3 linked regions of the Callithrix jacchus genome follow. The protein of the gene in region 1 purifies or fractionates together with the protein of each later gene. This does not show direct contact. Links are inferred from orthologs where the notes say so. Each region holds a gene or a part of one and is shown in the gene's direction. Other genes may lie near its edges. The genes, in order: NUP37, NUP85 and NUP107.

Region 1 (3,628 bases):
TTAAATGCTTAAAGTATAAATAATACTCCAACCTTTAGCAAGTATGTCAGCTCTTATAGGTATAAAAATAGTATCTTATATAATCTGATTTATTTGGAGAAATAGAAAAACTAAGGAGACTGGATAAACTATGGATAACAGAAGAGGGCAAAGACTAAGGTAGATGTGTAACAATATTTTTAACATCTCTTGTTGACTGGCTAAAATGAAGATACTTTTTAAAATCTATCCTTTTATGCTTTTAAGAAAACATTTAAAATTAAATTCAAGTGCTGATTTAGTGTAAAATTCTATACTTATTATTGAAGAAGCAAATCCAGAATAAACTAAACTTTTATATGTTCTCTCCTACTCCTACTTTCTGTGATGTCTATGTAATACTTTTTACAGTGGAGCCACAACATTCTTCTTTCTTCCTCCATAAAAAGCAAGATTATGAGTTACTGATAACAACTTCAGTGACCTGGAGGGAAAGATCAGGGGAGGGAGAGACCTTTCCCTTCAAAGGCTGAAAATTGGAATATTTTTGTTTTTTATTGCTTCCAGATTTTGTACTTCAGCTGCTGATTTGAAAATTAGATTGTTTACTTCAGATCTTCAAGATAAAAATGAATATAAGGTATGTTGACAGCTATACAAATCTTTAGAGTTTATTTTAACACATGTTTATTTTTTGCTGTTTTAATTGAATTTATCCCAATTTAAAATGGCTTTTTATGGTCATCATTAAAGTATATAATTTAGGGTCTCATTTACTCTATTATAGGTAATAGTAACCAGGTTACTATATTAAGAACTATATTCTTAATAATGACTGCAGATTATAAATCTCGTATCACTTATTAACTTGAAATGTTAGGTAGGAACAACAAATAAGAAAGAATTAGAAATTCAAAGTTGGAAATATTAGGAATATAATCAACATGAACATCCATAGAGTAAGAGTTGAACTTCAAGGGAACAAATGATCAGCACAGCATAGCACAGGCCAGATTCCAAAGTAGTTAAGAGCACAGACACAGAATCCAGATTCCTTGCATTTAAACCTCTGTGTTATTACTTAGTAATGGTGTGACCTTGGTTAAGTAACCGAATCTCTTTGTGCTAATATCCTCAGCTGTAAAATGTGGGTAATCATAGCAGCTGCCTTATAGAATTATCAGCGTTGACTGAGCAAATTCATATAAAACACTTAGAATAATGCTTGTTACACAGCAAAACCCATATGTGTGTTTTCTATTACCATAATAATTACCCTCAGGTTGGGCTGAAATTCCATCATGTTTTCTTATAAGAATGGTATTGCCTTGGCTTTCTAATAAACCAAAATATGAATATTGTTATAAAACAAAGATAAATGAAACCTTTCCAATCATTTAGAAAATAGTAAAAAATTATGCTCTAAGCTATTTACAATTGGCTTAACCTATTGTACAGATTGGCTGATTTAAGGCTATAACAAAAATAACCAAGTATATAAATGCACATAAAATTTTGACCTATCCAAAGTTAAAATGGTAGTTATAATATACATTAAACATTCACGGTTAATTTAGTTTGCCTTGTAGGCTATGACAGAAGCTTTGGAGAGTGATTTGGAGGACCTGGGTTGGTGAAAGTTTTCAGCAATGTTTGACCCAAATCTTTTTTCTTTTTTTCATGTTACATTTCTACATAGTTATCAGTACTATACAGAACTGCTCTAATAACCTCAGAATGAGATCAAATTTGAATTTTTGGAAAGAAGGAAGGGTAGAAAAAATGATAATCATTAAAGTAATTATCTGACAGGCCTATTTAGGATTTCAACCATGAAGATTTAGACAGATTGAACCTTACCTGCTCACACAGTCCTCTACCATGCAACTTCTCATTTGTTGCTTCTCTGTCAAGGCAAAGATTTTTGTGTTGATGATGACTATAGTCTTACAACAACTAGCTGTCTTCACTGCTGGCAGTCACATTGAACATGTAAATGAAGGCATTAGATCGTGAAGTCCATCCTGTGTGTGTTTGTTAAGTAGTAGTGAGTATACAGAGCAACAGTTATAAGGTAAAAAACCTAGAGGCACTCTACCTCAGTACTCCTAAAAAGTTTTCTAGCTCTAATTTTTATTTAAGCTTTATATAAAAAGTGAGAAAGGAGGTGATATGAGGACAGGTACAATAAAAATGTATGTGTGTTTTTGTAAGAAATGCATACTAAAAAAGAAAGACTAAGCTAATAGTGTGTTGAATGATCAATTTCTTTCCAAGATAGACCTTCCAAAAAGTGGGTGTATAAATCATGCTTTAAAAATAGCAGATTGCTTAAGAAATATTTATAGAAAAACATGCAGTGAAAGCTTTTAAGGCAGTGAAGCAAAAATATTGTGTAGGAATATTATAGATTTTCCTGTTTTCTTACTAAGTTTTCTCTTTCTGTCAGGTTTTAGAGGGCCATTCAGATTTCATTAATGGTTTGGTGTTTCATCCCGAAAGTGGCCAAGGAATTGCAAGTGTGAGTGACGATCATACCTGCAGGTATGTTGCTTATGTTATAACCACATTTGTAAATTTTCATTTTATTTTAATGAGAATTATATTTTTTGAATGAGAAAAAAATGTGACTTTTATATAAATTCTATAGAGTGTTGTAAAAGAAGCATACCTTATTTGAACTGTAGGTATGACACAAACATGAGTTTCAAAACCAGTGAGTTGGGTCCTCGTCGCCGTTAATGAAAAGTTCCCTTGCCTCCCTTGGGTGTCTTTTATGTCTTATTTCGGATTTTGACATTTACGAAATCCAAATATGTATCGGGCTAGGCACAGTGGCTCACACCAGTAATCTCAGCTCTTTGGGAGGTCAAGGCAGGTGGATCACCTAAGGTCAGAAGTTCACGACCAGCCTGACCAACATGGCAAACTCCATTTCTACTAAACATACAAAAATTAGCCAGCAGTAATGGTGTGCACTTGTAATCCCAGCTACTTGTGGGGCCAAGGCAAGAGAATCTCTAGAACCTGGGAGACTGAGGTTGCAGTTAGCCAAGATTGTGCCACGGCACTCAAGCCTGAGTGACAGAGCGAAACTCCGTCTCAAAAAAAAAAAGCCCAAACATATATTGGATCAAATTCCCCAATACTGGACAAGATGCGTAGGAATAAAATGCAGTTGTCAAGTTACCTCACAGAGCCTATATAAGTTAGTGTTTAATAATGAACTCTAACTCTTATCTGCTACATAAGACTGATGGAAAATTTAGTGTTTTGATAAATTCAGAGGTTTCTACATAAGGTTTTATGTAGATACAATACATGTCACTATTTTGTTCTTGTACCCCACCCCCTAACTTAGGACAGATGAGGTAGCTATAACATTTTAATAGTGCCTAAAGCTGGAGAATATCACAAGTAAAGAACAAGATGAAAACAATAGCGGGTTGAAATAAGCTGAGCAGTCAGGAGTGAAATGAGTGCGTCAGTCATTGGAAGGGTGTCAGTTGCTTCATTTGCTTTAACAATACTTTGAGGAAGCAAAAAACTGCTGCTCTGCTGTTTTACATAATGTTTTATAAAACTGTGCCAAAATCCTTAGTATTTATTGGTACTTATGTACATATAAAACTATTAAATATGTATGACT
Region 2 (4,321 bases), on another chromosome or scaffold:
GACTGGTATATATCAGTCTTAGACCAAAGAATATTGCCAATACATTTTCCTCAATGTTACCTAGCTCTTGGTCAGACAATCTAAGTACTTTTGTTATCTTCAAATGTCATTTTGTCAGCCTTAAAAGAAAAATAATAAAGGAAGTATAGCACTAAGATTTGTTTTTTTTTTTTTTGAGACGGAGTTTTGCTCTTGTTACCCAGGCTGGAGTGCAGTGGCGGATCTCGGCTCATCGCAACCTCCGCCTCCTGGGTTCAGGCAATTCTCCTGCCTCAGCCTCCCGAGTAGCTGGGACTACAGGCGTGCACCACCATGCCCAGCTAATTTTTGTGTTTTTAGTAGAGACGGGGTTTCACCATGTTGACCAGGATGGTCTCGATCTCTTGACCTTGTGATCCACTCGTCTCGGCCTCACAAAGTGCTGGGATTATAGGCGTGAGCCACCGCGCCCAGCCAAGATTTGTTTTTTTTGAGATGGAGTCTCACTGTGTTGCCCAGGCTGGAGTGCAGTGTCGAGATCTTGGCTCACTGCAACCTCCACCTCCCGGGTTCAAGCGATTCTCCTGTTTCAGCCTCCCGAGGAGCTGGGATTACAGGCATGCGCCACCATGCCCGGCTAATTTGTATTTTTAGTAGAGACAGGGTTTCTTCATGTTGGTCAGGCTGGTCTCGAAGTCCCGGACCTCACGTAATCCGCCCGCCTAGCCCTCCCAAAGTGCTAGGAGTACAGGCGTGAGCCACTGCGCCCGGCCTGTATTCTAAGTAGAGACGAGGTTTCCTCATGTTGGCCAGGCTGGTCTCGAACCCCTGACCTCCAGTGATCCGCCCACCTAGGCCTGCCAAAGTGCGGAGATTAGAGGAGTGAGCCACCGCGCCCAGCCTTCAGTGGTGTCGATTTTGTCCGGGTGCTTCTTGTATGTGTTCTAGTGTGGGAGTGGCGGCGATTGCTTTCCAGCACAAATCCGTTTGACTGTCGGGGTTTGGACAAGCAGCTGCGACGACACTAAAGTGGAGACCAGGATGGGGCGAGGACTCCCAGCGTTGGTAGAGGTTGTACGCTCACTGGGGCCCTAGCGCTGCCCGAGTTCGCACCAGCGCCGCAAAGCTCACGCACGCGCAGTCGCACCGTCTCTGGCCCCAGGGTCCTCCCGCCCCTCCCGCCGTCTCCGGGGGCCTTTTCTCCGCCCGGCGCGGGGATGTCCGCGGTGCCGCCTGATCCTGTGAGCGCGGTACCGTGAATGCAGTCTGCCCTCGGCGCTCTTCTCCCTGACGTGCTGTCGAGGCCAGAAAGGAAGGACCCGCTCAGAGGACCGCAGACGGGTGGCTGAGAGGAGAGGCCCCCGCAGCATTGAGGGTTTGGGCTTGCAGGCGCTGCAGGAGGCGCCCAGCGGGGTCCTCTCTTAGCCAGCTCTGAGCTGGAGGCCTGAGCGGGAAGCATTGGCGGTGGGGCGACTTCCAGGAGGCTGGAGTGTAGCGCTATGGAGGAGCTTGATGGCGAGCCAACAGTCACTGTAAGGGCGCCCCGAAAAGGCTTGTTCGTCCTTGCGGCTCCAGAACTGCGTCTGCTTCGTTAGTTCAGGCTTGTCTGCTTCCCTCCTGGCCGCTAGGCGCTCGTCCCCTACCCTTGACTCAGTTGCCACTGTCCGAAGGTCGCAGTGTTAACGAAGTGCCCGCCCTCGAGTTGCAGTGGTTGCAGGGTTTCTGCCACCAGTCACAAGTCCTGGCCCCGAAGGTCCCACTCCATCCCTTTCCCTCCTTTGTCTTCCTGGCCTTTCTATTTCCCTCGCTTTTCCTCTTGGGCAGTAGAGTGGGTTCAGCCCGAGCAGAAGTATTGATGTTTTTCTTCTAGCTATGTTAAGCTTTGCAAGCGGTACATTGAGCTTCTGCCTGTGTGGTCTAAGGTTTATTGAACGTATTTATTCTCTGGGGAGACTGTTAAAACGTGCGCTTTGAATGAAGATACACCCAGACTTTGTGTGAGCAACATGGCTGTTTATTCACCTGGGTGTGGGCGGGCTGAATCCGAAAAGAGTCAGCGAAGGGCGGTGAGATAGGAGTTGGTTTTATAGGTTTGGGGTGGGCAGTGGAAAGTTAGAGTGACTTGTAGCCACGGATGGGGAGGCGGTGTCCCTCACCCTAGGGTTAAGGTAGGGGGACATAAGAGGAGCTATTCAGGAGGTATGGGTTCGGGGAGGAGGGCGCCAGTGAGGTGTGGCTATAGCCCAGGAATAGTTAAGGAGGCAGACAATTTTGCTAGGATATCTTGGCCTAACAGAGGAATTGGACAAGTGGGACTGATTAGGAAAGAATATGGAAAGTGGTGCTGGCCTAATTGACACCAGACTTGGGGAGTTTTGAGAGGCCTGGAGACCTTGCCGTCAATTCCCACAACAGTTATGGAGGCCAAGGAGACAGGTCCTTGAAAAGAAGGCAGTGTGGAGTGTGTGGCTCCGGGTTGATTAAGAAGGGGATGGACTTGACCTCCACCAGTTACTCGAAGCGCAGTGTTTGTGATGTTCCAGGGAGCCTCTGAGATGTTCAGGCAGCATCAGTCTTCAGCCACCAAGCCAAGGAGATCAGGGAAAGAGTCAGCCTGAGGGCTCCCGGGTTGGGCTCCTGGAGACTTAAAGACAGCAGTTTGAGTCTGGCAGTCCTACCTCCATTGGGGTCCCACACAGACAGGACATGGCTTAGGAAGAATCCCGGTTGGGAGGCTGAGGCGGGCGGATCACGAGGTCAAGAGATCCAGACCAGCCTAGCCAACATGTTGAAACTCCGTCTCTACTTAAATACAAAAATTAGCTGGGCATGGTGGCGCGCGCCTGTAGTCCCAGCTGCTTGGGTGGCTGAGGCAAGAGAATTGCTTGAACCCAGGAGGCGGAGGCTGCAGTGAGTCGAGATCCCGCCACTGCACTCCAGACTGGCGACAGAGTAAGACTCTGTCTCAAAAAAAAAAAAAAAAAAATCCGGGCTGCAGGCATTCCTTGGCTCAGTGGCCAGGTTCTCGGCATTTGAAGCAAGGCTTTGGGGAAGGAGGTCCTGAAGAGAAGTCTGGACGCTGTGGGTTTGGTGGTCTGAAACTTCTGTGAGCCGAAGAAGAAGTAGCTGTGGTCTATCTTACAGAGGAGGCAAGCATTTGTAATTCCGAAATACGCTGCCCCTGGGTAGCTTTTTCCCTATTATTTAACACCTTAAAGGTGAGGTCAATTAATTCCTGTTGTGGGGTTTGAGGGCCAGATTCTAATTTCTGTGGCTTTTTGTAATGTTAGGGACTCAATGGGTGATAAAATGCATATCAAGCATTCTTCAGGGGTGAGAGTAGAAGTAAGGATGACATTTAAGTCACTCCAGGCGAGATTACAGGCCTGGGTTAAGTATTGGAGGATCTGATGTAAAAGAGCCTAACCATTGGCTGATTTGGGAAAGGTCGGATAAAGAGAAAGGAACCTGCACCCTAACTATGCCTTTGGCTCCAGCCACCTCTCGAAGAGGGAATTGTCAGACAGGGGTGGAGGAGGTAGCCACAGGACTAAACTGCAAGCTGGGGCACTTATGAGGTGGCGAGGTGACAGGAGGGGCATAAGGAAATGGGTTGTGGGCAGAGGAAGAGGAGGAAAGCTCTAGGGGTTGGGCTTAGGTCCTGGATTAGGGCCTGGTTCCGACAGGCAGGGAGGAGAAAGGTCGGAAGGGTCGATGGACAAGGAGAATTCTAGGTTGCTGGCAGAGGCAGGAGGGGCAGATGGAAGGGAGAGAAGGAAAATTTGGGATGGGTTGCATTGAGAACAGAGATTAGGGAGAGATTGGTGTGTAAAAAAAAATGCCTGGACGTAGAGAATTTGCCCATTTTACTACGAAAGTTATCTAGATCCTGTAGGATAGAGAAATTGAAGGTACCATTTTCTAAATGGACAATGGACATTTAGAGCCATTGTCCAATTTATATCATGGTCAAGCAGTATTGCAGAAGAAAATAAGATGCTTAGGTTTTAGGTCAGGTGATAGCCGGAGAAGTTTGAGGTTTTTTAGAACGTAGGCTAAGGGAGAGGAGGGAGGAATGGAGGGTAGGAGTTTGCCCATAGTTTAAGAAGAGCGGGGCTCGGCGCGGTGGCTCATGCCTGTAATCCCAGCGCTTTGGGAGGCCGAGGCAGGTGGATCACGAGGTCAAGAGATTGAGACCATCCTGGTCAACATGCTGAAACCCCATCTCTACTAAAAACAAAAAATAAGCTGGGCATGGTGGTGCGTGCCTGTAATCCCAGCTACTCAGGAGGCTGAGGCAGGAGAATTGCCTCAGGAGGTGGAGGTTGTGGTGAGCCGAGAT
Region 3 (4,266 bases), about 55 Mb from region 1:
GGGATTACAGGGGTAGCCACCGCACCCGACAGTGCTTAGCTTTTTCATAGATGTAGCTTTTTCCTTGCTTGCAGACTTCGCAGTGAGCCGAGATCACGCCACGGCCCTCCAGCCTGGACTAGAGCGAGACATAATCTCAAAAAGAAAAGAAAAAAAAGCTCAGCACTGTCACCAGGAATATATGGCAAGAAAAGCTGGCAATTTCTACATATCTGTGAAACCCAAAATGTCATTTGCAATAAGGATCAAATGTATCAATAGTGTAAGCCCAAAAGTCTGTGGCAACTTCTTCACTTTCCCCAGATTGTCAATGGCACCTTTGTTAAACTCAACAAGGTTTCGGTTAACAATGTTGAGGATTGCAGAACCACCTATTGCATGGGGCACCTGAACCTGAAATCAACAAATAAACTGATATACCTACTGGTTATAGTAAAACCAATAAACAAATTACCTTAACAGAGATAACTCTTTAATTGCTAGATCTCTTGATAAATATGGCATCATCTGACTGGAGAATCTGATTCGAGAGCTCTATGTTGTTGAAAAATTCTTCAAGTTCCCGTGATCCTTCAAATTATCTTCTCCACGAGGTAGAATGAAGGACTACCTATTTTGTATTAATGAAAGGTATAAATGCCAGCAACAGAAAAGACCATATCAACAGGCTTATTAAATGGATAAACTGAGGTGTCTAATATTATTTTTGTAATCTTATCAGTTAATAACCAGTCACTACTTTCAAATATGAAAAAAAACAAAAATGTGACTCCTTCAAGACCAAAATATAACCACTATTTGCCTACACGGCACTTTGAATAGAGGGCAATACCATCATATTTTACGCTTGCCTTTCTACTTTTTAATACGGGTGAACTTTTTTTCCTCCATAGCAAAAAATACCAAGTAAAGAACAAATAGCAGTTATGGAAAATACTTTCAAAAACTGTATGAAGCTACAGCACAAAGGACTGAGCGTAGGGAGAGAAACAGAAATTTCTCGAGGCAGAGCCCACATATCTGAATTCCAACAACAGGCGCTTTCTGAGAGAATACCAGGTAATGACTTCACATTTTTCCAGACTATCAACATAATTCGTTTTTCCCAGTAGGAGAACCCAACGCCTGTTCCACGCCCACAGACATCGGTCAGGCAAAGCGGCCGCAACGCTTCCGGGCTAAACGCGACTAGGTCCCGCCCCCGGTCCTGTCTGGTCCAGCCAGGCACAAGTTGGCAAACTTTGCGCCTGCGCCCACCGGGCTAGCTCATGTAGGCTCAAGTCGCGCATGCGCTAGGTGGGAACGTTGTTTCTTCTCCCCTGCGCTTTTTCTGTGGGGCTGTTTTAGGGAGAGTGCTTCCAGGTCGAAAGGCTTGCTTCCGGAGAGCGGGAAGGCTAAAACGCGGTAACTAAACTGGAGCCAACCTTGGTTCTGTATGGAAAAGGCTTTAGCCATGGACAGGTCAGTTCTGATCGTGGGAGCTGAGCCCGAAGTCTTGTCCCTCTCGCCTGCTGGCGAAACGAAATAGGTGAAACTAGACTCCCAGAAAAAGCCAAGGAGGAGGTCCCGGGTGCTTCCCCTAAGACTCCTTCCCCAGGCCAGGAAATTTGGCTACAAATGCGGAAAAGGTCGCTTGGCTTGCGTCGGGGTGGGATACGGATTATGATGGTTCCCTACATTCTCACTGTGTTCTGCGATCTATTCGGCGCTTTGGGGCAGCAACACTATTCTTTCCTGAGGTGGGCGGGGTAGGTAGCCCGGCGTTCTACATGCTGAGTGACCAGCCTGAGATCACAAAGCCAGTCAATGAAGATACTGGGATCTCAGCCCAGACTTTCTGATCACAAGTGCCAGCATCAAATACTGGGTTCCTTCTATAATCTGGGTATTATGCTAGCCGGCTGCAACAAAGATCAGTTATTCAAGATCCTTCACCTCGGGGAATTGGTTGTGTAGTGGAGACAACCAAGCATATAAAGTGATAAGTGTTTTGGAACGATTAAGTCTCCCTGTCACTATATAACTATCAGGAAGACCTCTCGAAGAAGGTAACTTTCTAGTTGGTGTTTGAGTAATAATAGTACATTATTGGTACTCCAAACCTTGAGTACTGCTATGTGACTGCATTGTTCCAAAGGATTTGAATATATATTATTAGCTTGTTTAATCTTCAGAACAAGAAAAATTCTATGAAAATATGTGCTGTTATCCTTTTTTCATAGATACCACTGAGACTAAAAGAGGTTAAGGAACTTGCTGAAAGTTAGAAGGCTAGTAGTAAATACAAGGACCAAATTCCCAACCTGCATCTGTGTGTCTCCAGGCTACCTGGGGCTCTTTGAGGAGTAAGTAGTTGTTGACCAGGTGCTCAAGGGAGCCACTGTAGGTCGTTTTAAAAGAAACTTATTCAAAGGTGTTAGGATATAGAAAAAAGTACGTGCTTTGTCGGCAGTCACATGCAGAATATGTTTAAAGCGATATTTGTGGCTGAATATAAGACTGAACCTCTAAACTGGGGTCACATTGTAAATAGCTTTTTAGGGAATTTGTACTTCTATAGACTAGAGAGAGATATCTGAAGTTTTTTTTGTTGTTGTTTTTTAATTAAACCTTTTAAATTTTGTTTTGGTTATTGTTTTCCATACTTTCTTGCTGAAGGAATATCTGAAGGTTTTAAGTGGAGGAAAAGCATATCAGATTCTTGCCTTAAACATAGGCCTTTTCATCCACACAATTTCGTTTCTAGACCTTTGAGTGAAAATGACAGGGAGTGATGTGATGGGACAGGAGACATCCTGGGTTGAAATAATTTGAAGGATCATTCTGCTCCATTTACCAGAATTCTTTTATTTACCCTCTTATCTCACAAGCTCTGTTTTGTGTTGTTGTTTGTTTTTCAGTGGTACCTGTGTTTTAAAGCATTTTGGAGACTGCAGAAAATCTTTTAAGAGAGAATTCCTGTAATTAGATAACTCCTCAATCCAACAAGGGAAATGAGATTGACTTTTATGAAGCAGTTATCTAAAACAGTGTTATAGATTCCAAGTGTTGAAATAATTCCTTAGGAGAAAATAACATAGTGAGTACTAGAAAGTCAGAGAAGTCTTTGTGCAGGTAAGATTTGAGTAAGGCTTTGAAGAATAAGCAGGATTTGGAGCCAGGAGTGCATTCTCAGCAAAAGATCTAAGACTTGGCTATTGGAATGACCTATACCACAACTTACTCAGAGCCCTTTACTCCAGCTGTGATGATAAAATTCTTTTACAAATACTACATTCTCATTTCACTTATGTAAGCTTGATTATACTACTTTAGGAGTGGCTTTGGAGATATATCATCCCCTGTTATCCGGGAGGCAGAGGTGACACGGACTGCACGGAAACAGAGTGCTCAAAAAAGAGTTTTAAGTATCCTTTGCGATTTAAGCATCATTATAAAAATTGTAACATGCTTGGAATCGGTGTTGTAGAATTTTCTTTTATGAGAGTATTAAATGTTAGCTGTAATAAAATCCTGTAGAAATTTTTTTTCACTCTGCGGAACTGTCATTTGGTAAATATAATGCTAAAATTTAATGAGATTATGTTTCCCTAAGAATAAAGATATTTCATTTTACTACTGACTATCATATTGTGGTTAGCTTCTGCTGAAATTAGATTTTTTTATTATTTGAAAACTGACTAAAAACATTTAGTTCAGTAGTTATCTAAGACTGACATCTGAGAATTTAAATGGCAGAAGGAATCATTTACCCTTTGCATAGAAAAATAGTAGCCATAAAATACCTTATTCTTGGTAAATGTATTCACATAATTTGTATAGTAAAAATATTGTTAGTTCTCACTTTAATGATCTCTTTTCTACGTGGAAAACTTTTCTTAACTCATTGTACAGTTCAGTCATCTCAAGATGAAAATTTTGGTAATACTACACCAAGAAACCAGGTTATTCCTCGAACTCCTAGCTCATTTCGACAGCCTTGTAAGACTTTTTTGCTTTTAAAGCACTTAATAATAATGATAATTATAATAGCAGCTAACATTTATTGTAGAACAATTAGTATTTGGTTACTATATCAATAATTAAGCACAAATAATAATGATTGCAGTTATTTGTTGAACTCTTGCCATGTACAAAGTACTGTATTTTACATAAACACACAGTAACTATGACATAGGTATTGTTAATTCTATTTTACCAAAACTGAAAGCAAGACTTAGAGAAGTTATAATATAGGCAATAAGTATGTAAATAAGCTGGATACAG

What was found.
Region 2: the proteins of NUP37 (region 1) and NUP85 purify together in Homo sapiens (affinity purification with western blotting; 4 studies listed by BioGRID and IntAct, with this or other methods). This does not show direct contact. The link is inferred for Callithrix jacchus from reciprocal best matches to the Homo sapiens genes NUP37 and NUP85.
Region 3: the proteins of NUP37 (region 1) and NUP107 purify together in Homo sapiens (affinity purification with mass spectrometry; 7 studies listed by BioGRID and IntAct, with this or other methods). This does not show direct contact. The link is inferred for Callithrix jacchus from reciprocal best matches to the Homo sapiens genes NUP37 and NUP107.

The regions. Positions count from the first base shown.
Region 1 is NC_133510.1:105,138,217-105,141,844, reverse strand, and holds part of NUP37 (nucleoporin Nup37), read left to right. Parts: intron 1-546; coding exon 547-619; intron 620-2,428; coding exon 2,429-2,523; intron 2,524-3,628. UniProt on the Homo sapiens protein: Component of the Nup107-160 subcomplex of the nuclear pore complex (NPC). The Nup107-160 subcomplex is required for the assembly of a functional NPC.
Region 2 is NC_133506.1:131,121,951-131,126,271, forward strand, and holds the start of NUP85 (nuclear pore complex protein Nup85), read left to right. Parts: upstream 1-1,402; 5' UTR 1,403-1,478; coding exon 1,479-1,511; intron 1,512-4,321. UniProt on the Homo sapiens protein: Essential component of the nuclear pore complex (NPC) that seems to be required for NPC assembly and maintenance. As part of the NPC Nup107-160 subcomplex plays a role in RNA export and in tethering NUP96/Nup98 and NUP153 to the nucleus.
Region 3 is NC_133510.1:50,461,633-50,465,898, reverse strand, and holds the start of NUP107 (nuclear pore complex protein Nup107), read left to right. Parts: upstream 1-1,368; 5' UTR 1,369-1,435; coding exon 1,436-1,461; exon of another isoform or gene 1,462-2,048; intron 2,049-3,315; coding exon 3,316-3,407; intron 3,408-3,894; coding exon 3,895-3,981; intron 3,982-4,266. UniProt on the Homo sapiens protein: Plays a role in the nuclear pore complex (NPC) assembly and/or maintenance. Required for the assembly of peripheral proteins into the NPC. May anchor NUP62 to the NPC. Involved in nephrogenesis.